Linked DNA regions of Macaca fascicularis. Each later gene encodes a partner of the first gene's protein in a complex. Links are inferred from orthologs where the notes say so. Each region holds a gene or a part of one and is shown on either strand. Other genes may lie near its edges. The genes, in order: SIRT5 and PRDX1.

Region 1 (3,908 bases):
AGACACATGAACACGTATGTTTACTGCAGCACTATTCACAATAGCAAAGACTTGGAACCAACCCAAATGTCCATCAATGACAGACTGGATTAAGAAAATGTGGCACATATACACCATGGAATACTATGCAGCCATAAAAAAGGATGAGTTCATGTCCTTTGTAGTGACATGGGTGCAGCTGGAAACCATCATTCTCAGCAAACTATCACAAGAACAGAAAACGAAACACTGCATGTTCTCAGTCATAGGTAGGAATTGAACAATGAGAACACTTGGACACAGGAAGGGGAACATCACACACTGGGGCCTGTTTTGGGGTGGAGGGGGAGGGATAGCATTAGGAGATATACCTAATGTAAATGACGAGTTAATGGGTGCAACACACCAACATGGCACATGTATACATATGTAACAAACCTGCATGTTGTGCACATGTACCCTAGAACTTAAAGTATAATAAAAAATAAATAAAACAAAAAGAAAAAAAGAAAGAAACGAGCATTTTCAGCTGTCTACTGTTTAAGAAAACAATGAACTCTCAGTTTTGCCCTCTGAGCGATTTCTCCAGGACTGCCCTAGTTAACACTACTATTCAACAGTTTTGTGCTTTGAGCAGTTATTTGACCTCCCTGGCCCTCAGTTTCCCCACCCATAAAGTGGGGACAACAGTACCTATTTCATCAGGTGGTGGGTATGATTTAAATTGGTTAATAATGTGAAGTTCTTAAAAGTGTCTGGCTCAGAGTAAGCACCATACACGTTAGGGGAAAAAAAAGCAGCGGGATGTGAGGCCCTCCCCAATTTCGTTACTCCATAAACCCCTAAGTTGCTGGTAACACCTGCAGGAGTGAGAGGGGCTTCAATATGGGCTGAATTTCCAGCCAAACTGTGGAAAGTGGCTGAGATTTTAGGTAGGCAAAAAATGTTAATGTAACATTTTTGGCCCCCAAGTTCTCAGACCACTTACTTCCCTTTCTAGTCCATTGACATGCCCGCAAGCAATTCCATTCTGCCAAGAGGTGCTGGTGGTAAGCCCAAATCCAAGAAAAGGAAAGACTCCGATTTTAAGGGAACGGGGACCTGCGGAGCCACTTGAGTCACCGGGGCTCTCAGCTCAGCAGTCAGAGCGCACTCATCACTGCGTTCGAGGTTAGGTGGGCTGGCCTGGGAACCAACTCACCATCATTTGAAATCGTTTCAGGGAAAATGACCCCAACACTTAAAATCCTCTGTCCTGAAGTTGTGTGATCCAGCTGTTTGCTGAAAGAGGAAGCAAAGCCGATAGTAACTCACTACATATTTGGGCAGTGGAATGAACCCTGGAAGGTGACAAAGACGAAGAAAGTCACCGCGCCTCTTCCGACCCGCCGCCCCCTACCCCTACTCCCACTCCCACCCCCACCCCCACCCCAAATAAAGCACAGACAATCCTTCAATTATAAAGACAACCCCGGCGCCCGGGTCTCCGGCAGGGGCCGCTGCAGCCGAGCAGAACGCTGAGCCGCTCCGCCCCGCGGCCTCCTCTCCAGCCGCCGCGCCCGCCTCCTGCAGGTGCGTCCTTGCCCGCGCCGGGCCCGGGTCTCCGAGGCCTCTCCGGCTCTGGCTCCAGCTACTGGGTCCCGACCGCGCATTGCTCTCTCGGGGTTGCGCGCACAGCCCAGGGCCGGCCGCGGGCTGGCGGGCGGAGGTAGCGCTGGTCCGCGGTGCGCATGCGCAGCCCGGCCTCTGCCCTGCGGTCCTGGGCTGGTGATTGGGTAGCGGTTGGAGGAGGGGATGTGGGGGATGGTGGGTGGGTACGGAGAGCTGGGAGGGAGGCACCCCGGGGGGCGGGGCGTGGGAGACTGTCTTCGGGGGCGCGAGCTGCCCCAGGTGAGCCGTGCCTCAGGTCGGGTGCGCGGTCAGGACAAAGCGCCTCTAGGAGAAAGCCTGGAAGGCGCGCTCCAGGGGGACCCCGAGCTCTTAGCGGGCCGGCAGCACGTGCGGGGCCCAAGGTCATCCGGGCTCTGCGTGGGGTCGTTGCGGCTGGAGATCAGGGAGGGGGCAGGAAACGGAGTTGGAAAGTAATCCCACCCGAGCGGGTGGGCCTGCGAGGCCGCTGTGCTGGGGAGCTCCACGAGGGCTCCGAACAGAGCCTCCCTTTTCAGAAAGGTCACCCTGGTCACTGCGGCAGCCAGGATGACCGAGGAAGGTGGCCGGGGTGGAGGCAGTGGGCGTGGAGAGGGGTGGGATTCCGGACGTAGTTTGAAGGTCGAGCCGTCGGGATCTACTGAGCAGCTTGGCTATGGGGCGTACGAGAAGGGAAGGCTCAGGGCCTAGTCCCTGGGCCCGAGTAGCAGCCGGGAGGATGGTGCCCCAGTGCTTCGGGAGGAGGAGGCTTGAGGACGGCTCTGGAGCTCAGGCTTGCCCGCGTGGAGTGGAAGCTGCCTCTTGGACCCAGGGGGCGGGGAGGCCGCATGCAGTCTGGAGCGCTGGGAAGATGGGAGATCCAGAGAGGCAGGGCTGGAGGAGTAGGAGGAAAACCTGAAGGGGGTGGCGCCCGGAAACCCGGGAAAGTGATGAACTGGGTCAGAGGCCGGCTGTCAGCAGATAGGAGGGTGGAGACGACCTTGAGGAAAGCAGATGATGGAACGGGCGGGAGTGGGGCCCCTTAGTAGAGACACCTGGGACTGATGTATTGCATTTATTTAGCTCATAGGCGTTCAAAAAGTATTTATTCGGAGGCTGTACAACTTTTTGCAGTTCATTGCATTATACTTAGCATGTATTATGTTTTATATAAATATGTAAATATATATTTATATATTTAATATTGACAAATTTATATATAGGGTACAATGTAGTGTTTTGATATACGTATACATTTGTAGAAAGATTAAATCAAGCTAATTGACATATCCATCACCTCACCTACTTATTTTTTGTGGTGAAAATCTACTCTCCTGGAAATATACAATACGTCATCAACCGTGGTCACGATGCTGTGCAGTAGATCGCTAAAACTTAGTCCTCTTATCTAACTAAAACTTTGTATCCTTTGACCAACATCCCTCCCTTCCCCATCTGCCCTCCCCCAGGCCCCTGGTAACCATCATTCTACTCTGCTTCTATGAGTTCAACTTTATTAGACCCCAAGTATATAAGTGAGATCATATGCTATTTGTCCTTCTCTGCCTGGCTAATTTTACTTGGCCTAATGCCCTCCAGGTTCATCCACGTTGTTGCAAATGACAGAATTGCCTTCTGTTTTAAGACTGTATAGTATTCCATTGTATATATGTGCCACATTTTCTTTATCCCGTCCTCAGTTGATAGATACTTAGTTGCTTCTGTATCTTGGTTATTGTGAATAATGCTGAAAAGAACACAGGAATGCAGATATCTCTTCAACATACTGATTTCAATTCCTTTGTATATATACCCAGAAGTAGGATTTCTGGGTCATATGGTAATTCTATTTTTAGATTTTTGAGGAGCCTCCATACTGTTTTCCAAAATGGCTGTACTAATTTACATTCCACCAACAGTGTACCAGGGTTCCCTTTTCTCCACGTTCTGGACAACACTTGTTGTCTTTCATCTTTTTTATAATAGCCATTCTAACACGCGTGAGGTGGTAGCTCAGTGTGATTTAACTTGCATTTCCCTGGTGATTAGCGATGTTGAGCATTTTTTCATGTATTTGTTGACCATTCATATGTCTTCTTTTGAGGAATACCTGTTCAGGTCCTTTGTCCATTTTTTAACTGGGTTATTCGTTTTGTTTTGCTATTGAGTTTCTTATATATTTTAGATATGAGCCCCTTATCAGATGCATGGTTTGCAAATATTTTCTCCCAGTCTGCGGATTGTCTCTTTACTCTGTTAATTATTTTCTTTGCTGTGCAGAGGCTTTTTAGTTTAATGCAATC
Region 2 (3,860 bases), on another chromosome or scaffold:
TTAAGAGACTTAGCTGTAGAACAATCAAGGCATTGTCCAGTGTCCCTGAATACATTAAATGTTATTTTAGTAAGAAGCTCAGGCCAGCAGTCAAGGGTCACAATCAGAGCTTTTGAAACAAAACAAGTCTCTGAATCTCAGCCTTTGTTTTCATTTAAAAACGACAAGGCAATTTCTTTATATACTAAGAAAACCTCTCACTCTTTCTGAACCATAATTAGTGCAGTGGCATCTTATTCATTAGACAGAAGCAGAGAGGGAGGCAGGTGAAGACTCTCAAACCAGAATCCAAATGCACAATGCCACAAACACTTTTGTTTGGCTCATAGTCATGTTGACCTTTCCCATTACTGTGCCTCCACCTGCCTTAATAACGTCAGAAGCATATTTGACTTTTCTCCAGGTAGCTTTGTCAAAGACAGCACACGGTCGACCTATAACTAACACAACTTGTTTTATTTTATTTTTTTTGGACGGAGTTTCGCTCTTGGGGCCCAGGCTGGAGTGCAATGGCGCTATCTCGGCTCACCGCAACCTCCACCTCTAGGGTTCAAGTGATTCTCCTGCCTCAGCCTCCGGAGTATCTGGGATTACAGGCGCTAGCCACTACACCCGGCTAATTTTTTTGTAGTTTTATTAGAGAAAGGGTTTCTCCATGTTGGTCAGGCTGGTCTCGAACTCCTCACCTCAGGTGATCGCCCAACTCAGCCTCCCAAAATGCTGGGATTACAGGTGTGAGCCACCGCACCCTTCCAGCCAGTCCAACTTTTAAGAGGCAAGACCACTGGGCGCGGTGGCTCACACCTGTAATCCCAGCACTTCCGAAGGCCGAGGCAGGCGGATCACAAGGTCAGGAGTTCAAGACCAGTCTGGCCAACATGGTGAAACCCTGTCTCTACTAAAAATACAAAAATTAGCCGAGAGTGGTGGTGCATGCCTGTAATCGCAACTACTCAGGAGGCTGCTGAAGCAGGTGAATCGCTTGAACCCGGGAGGCAGAGGTTGCAGTAAGGCGAGATCACACCACTGCACTGCAGCCTGGGCGACAGAGTGAGACTTTTCACTCTGGGCCATACAGTGAAGAAAAAAAAAAGCCGGTGGGTGGGGGGGGGGGCGCGGGAAGACCAAGATATTGGCGTCTGCTTAATTTCAAATCTTTAGGTATTGTGTAAGCCCTAGAAGTCCCTTCACAAATGGGTTCCTGACTTCTGGGCTAATATCCCAGGGCGAAAAGAAGTAGAACAAGAATCAATTTACTTCTGAAAAGGAAGGTTGCGCAGGATTCACCCAGATCAACACCAAGATAAGCATCGAGATCTTGGCCTGTAATGCCAGCACTTTGGTAGCTGAGACAGGCAGATCACCTCAAGTCAGGAGTTCGAGAATAGCCCGGCCAACATAGTTAAACCCCGTCTCTAACAAAAATACAAAAAGTTAGCCGGGTGTGGTGGCACGCGCCCGTAGTCCCAGCTACTCCGGAGGCTGAGGCAGGAGAATCACTTGAAACCGGGAGATGGAGGCTGCAGTGAGCCGAGATCCCGCCACTGCACTCCAGCCTAGGAGACAGAGCAAGACTCCGTCTCAAAAAAAAAAAAAAAAAAAAGTTCGCGACAGGCCTGGCCAACATGGTGAAACCCCGTCTCTACTACAACTACAAAAAAAAAAAAAAATTAGCCGGGCGTGGTGACCGGCGTCTGCAGTTCCAGCTACTCAGGAGCTGATGCAGGAGAATGGCTGAACCCGCGAGGCGGAGCTTGCAGTGAGCCGAGATCGCACCACTGCACTCCAGCCTGGGCGACAAAGCGAGACTCCATCTCAAAAAAAAAGAAAAGAAAAACAGCAAAAATTTGCCGGGGCTTGGTGGCACACGCCTGTAATTCCAGCTACTCGCGAGACTGAGGGAGGAGAATTGCTTGAGTTCGGCAGACAGAGGTTGTCCCAGTAAGCCGAGACCGCACCACTGCTACTCCAGCCTGGCCGACAGAGCGAGACTCTCTCAAAAAAAAAACAGAGTTTTAACCCACTGAGCCGCAGTCTAAAAGTTTTTCCAAGTCCTAAAGTTCTTTAAAAACTGTTTTTTAAAAAGTCCTTAACACCTTTAACGACAAAAAACAAAAACCAAAAACTAATGCATGCTGCAACTTGGTGTCCCCAAATGGCCTTCTCGTCCCATCCTACTTTCCCAGGTGGCTCCCAAGTACCAAACCCAACCAATTCGGGGTAAAGGCTGCTTCAGGCCGGCGCCGGGCCCCTTCAGGGGATCTGCCCAGTGCCGAGGGCCACACCCCTGAACCCCACTTCAGGTACCCCTGTCCCTCCCCAGCACTGTGTAAAGTACCAGCAGAAAGAGTGCTTCAGCGGGGACATTTGGGCTCATCACTAACTCCATTCCACGTACAGGAAAATAAAGACGGGGAAAGGGTACCCGAAGCTCCGCAGCTAGTCAAGGCTCAGGACCCGGAACAGCATTTACCCTATCACAAGATGGACAAAAATACAGGCTGTCTTCTACAGCCACGAGTCCGGATACAGGTCCATTCCAGAAGCTTCCCGAACCCACCCCGCCCGACAGGAGGCTAGTCTTGGAGACCCCACCACCAGCCCGCCCAGACGCCGCGCCACGTGCTCAAGTTGCCGGGGAACGACTCGACTCGAGTCCACGCTAGCCTTGGGGTCCCACGTCCCCGCACCTACGTGGGGGGCCCATGAGAGGGGTGCGCGTAGCGCTCAGGCAGTCTCGGGCTCCGGGTCTCCCCCGGCCGCCTCACGCATCACAGTACCCCCACCCAAGGGCGGGCGAGCCCCGGACAGGAGAAGGAAGAGGCAACAGACAAGAAAGGCGCGCCGCGCCTCACTCCGCAGAGGCCGCGCTGCCCACACTCACCAGTCCTAACACAACTCACAGATCAACACCACGGAAGAACAAAACAGGCAAGAACAAAACGCGCAAAATCCGCCCGGGGCGCTGCCTTTATAGCCAGTAGGGCTCTCGCGAGAGTCGGAGCGGACCAGGGGTTCTGGAAGAGAAGAAAGAGGAGGGGGATGTGGCCCGAGCCCCGCCCGGCGCGCCCCACCGGAATGACTCGGCGCTTTTCCTCGTGGGGGCGGGCGCGGAAATACTAATACCTCTCCCTGCTGCGGATGGCTGAGGCTGGAGTGAGGCGCTCTTGTGGCCGCTCCCAAACCCAAACGCTTAGGTTAATCCAAGGTCTCTGCGAAAAACCAGGATTCCCTTTACTTCCAGGACCACTACGCACTGTGCCCTTAATGCCCAAACCGGAGTAAGCGTCCTAGCTGCTGCCCACGGATGACCACGTCTAACCACACCAAGCCATGAGAACTGTCTGTCCGAATATTTCTTAAGTTAAGCAGCCTTAACCCCAGCGCAGATCCTCAGTAACCCTCATGGGTTAGATAGCTTCCTTCATTGTTCTCTTTGATTACAGGGTTGCTGCTTTCTGTTGTAAAGCAAAATAAAATATCAGGACTCCTAAACTTATGCCAAAGGGAAAGTTCAGTTTAGGACGCTGATTCAGCTACACGACCATCCTTTCCCCGGATGAATAACTTGACTTTACAATCTTGAGTCAAAATATTACACATTAGCCAGACCTACACAGTAAGGCAAAAGGCCTCAGACACTTCCTGATGACTACCCCCCACAAACACACATACACAAAATCACAATTATTTGCTACCCTGGAAACCTTTAAAGTATGTAGCCTCCCATAAAACAAGGACGTGTCAATTGTAACTAGATCTGCAATCTAAAGTCTAGTTCCTAAAACGAAAGTTTGTTGTATTCCACATTTTTTTTGAGACGAGTCTCACTCACCCTGTCGCCCAGGCTGTAGTGCAGT

What was found.
Region 2: the proteins of SIRT5 (region 1) and PRDX1 are in contact, whole or in part, in a crystal structure (PDB 8Z54), measured with the Homo sapiens proteins. The link is inferred for Macaca fascicularis from reciprocal best matches to the Homo sapiens genes SIRT5 and PRDX1. Residues at the interface, in NP_001363727.1 of Homo sapiens: Ala86, Tyr102, Arg105, Gln140, Ile142, His158, Val220, Val221, Trp222, Phe223, Gly224, Glu225, Asn226, Leu227, Leu232, Val253, Val254, Tyr255, Pro256; in NP_001189360.1 of Homo sapiens: Phe195, Ser196, Lys197, Gln198.

The regions. Positions count from the first base shown.
Region 1 is NC_088378.1:159,375,256-159,379,163, reverse strand, and holds the start of SIRT5 (NAD-dependent protein deacylase sirtuin-5, mitochondrial), read left to right. Parts: upstream 1-1,490; 5' UTR 1,491-1,687; intron 1,688-1,828; exon of another isoform or gene 1,829-1,991; intron 1,992-2,031; exon of another isoform or gene 2,032-2,188; intron 2,189-3,908. UniProt on the Homo sapiens protein: NAD-dependent lysine demalonylase, desuccinylase and deglutarylase that specifically removes malonyl, succinyl and glutaryl groups on target proteins.
Region 2 is NC_088375.1:189,199,064-189,202,923, reverse strand, and holds the start of PRDX1 (peroxiredoxin-1), read right to left. Parts: upstream 2,947-3,860; 5' UTR 2,885-2,946; intron 2,564-2,884; exon of another isoform or gene 2,399-2,563; intron 1-2,398. UniProt on the Homo sapiens protein: Thiol-specific peroxidase that catalyzes the reduction of hydrogen peroxide and organic hydroperoxides to water and alcohols, respectively.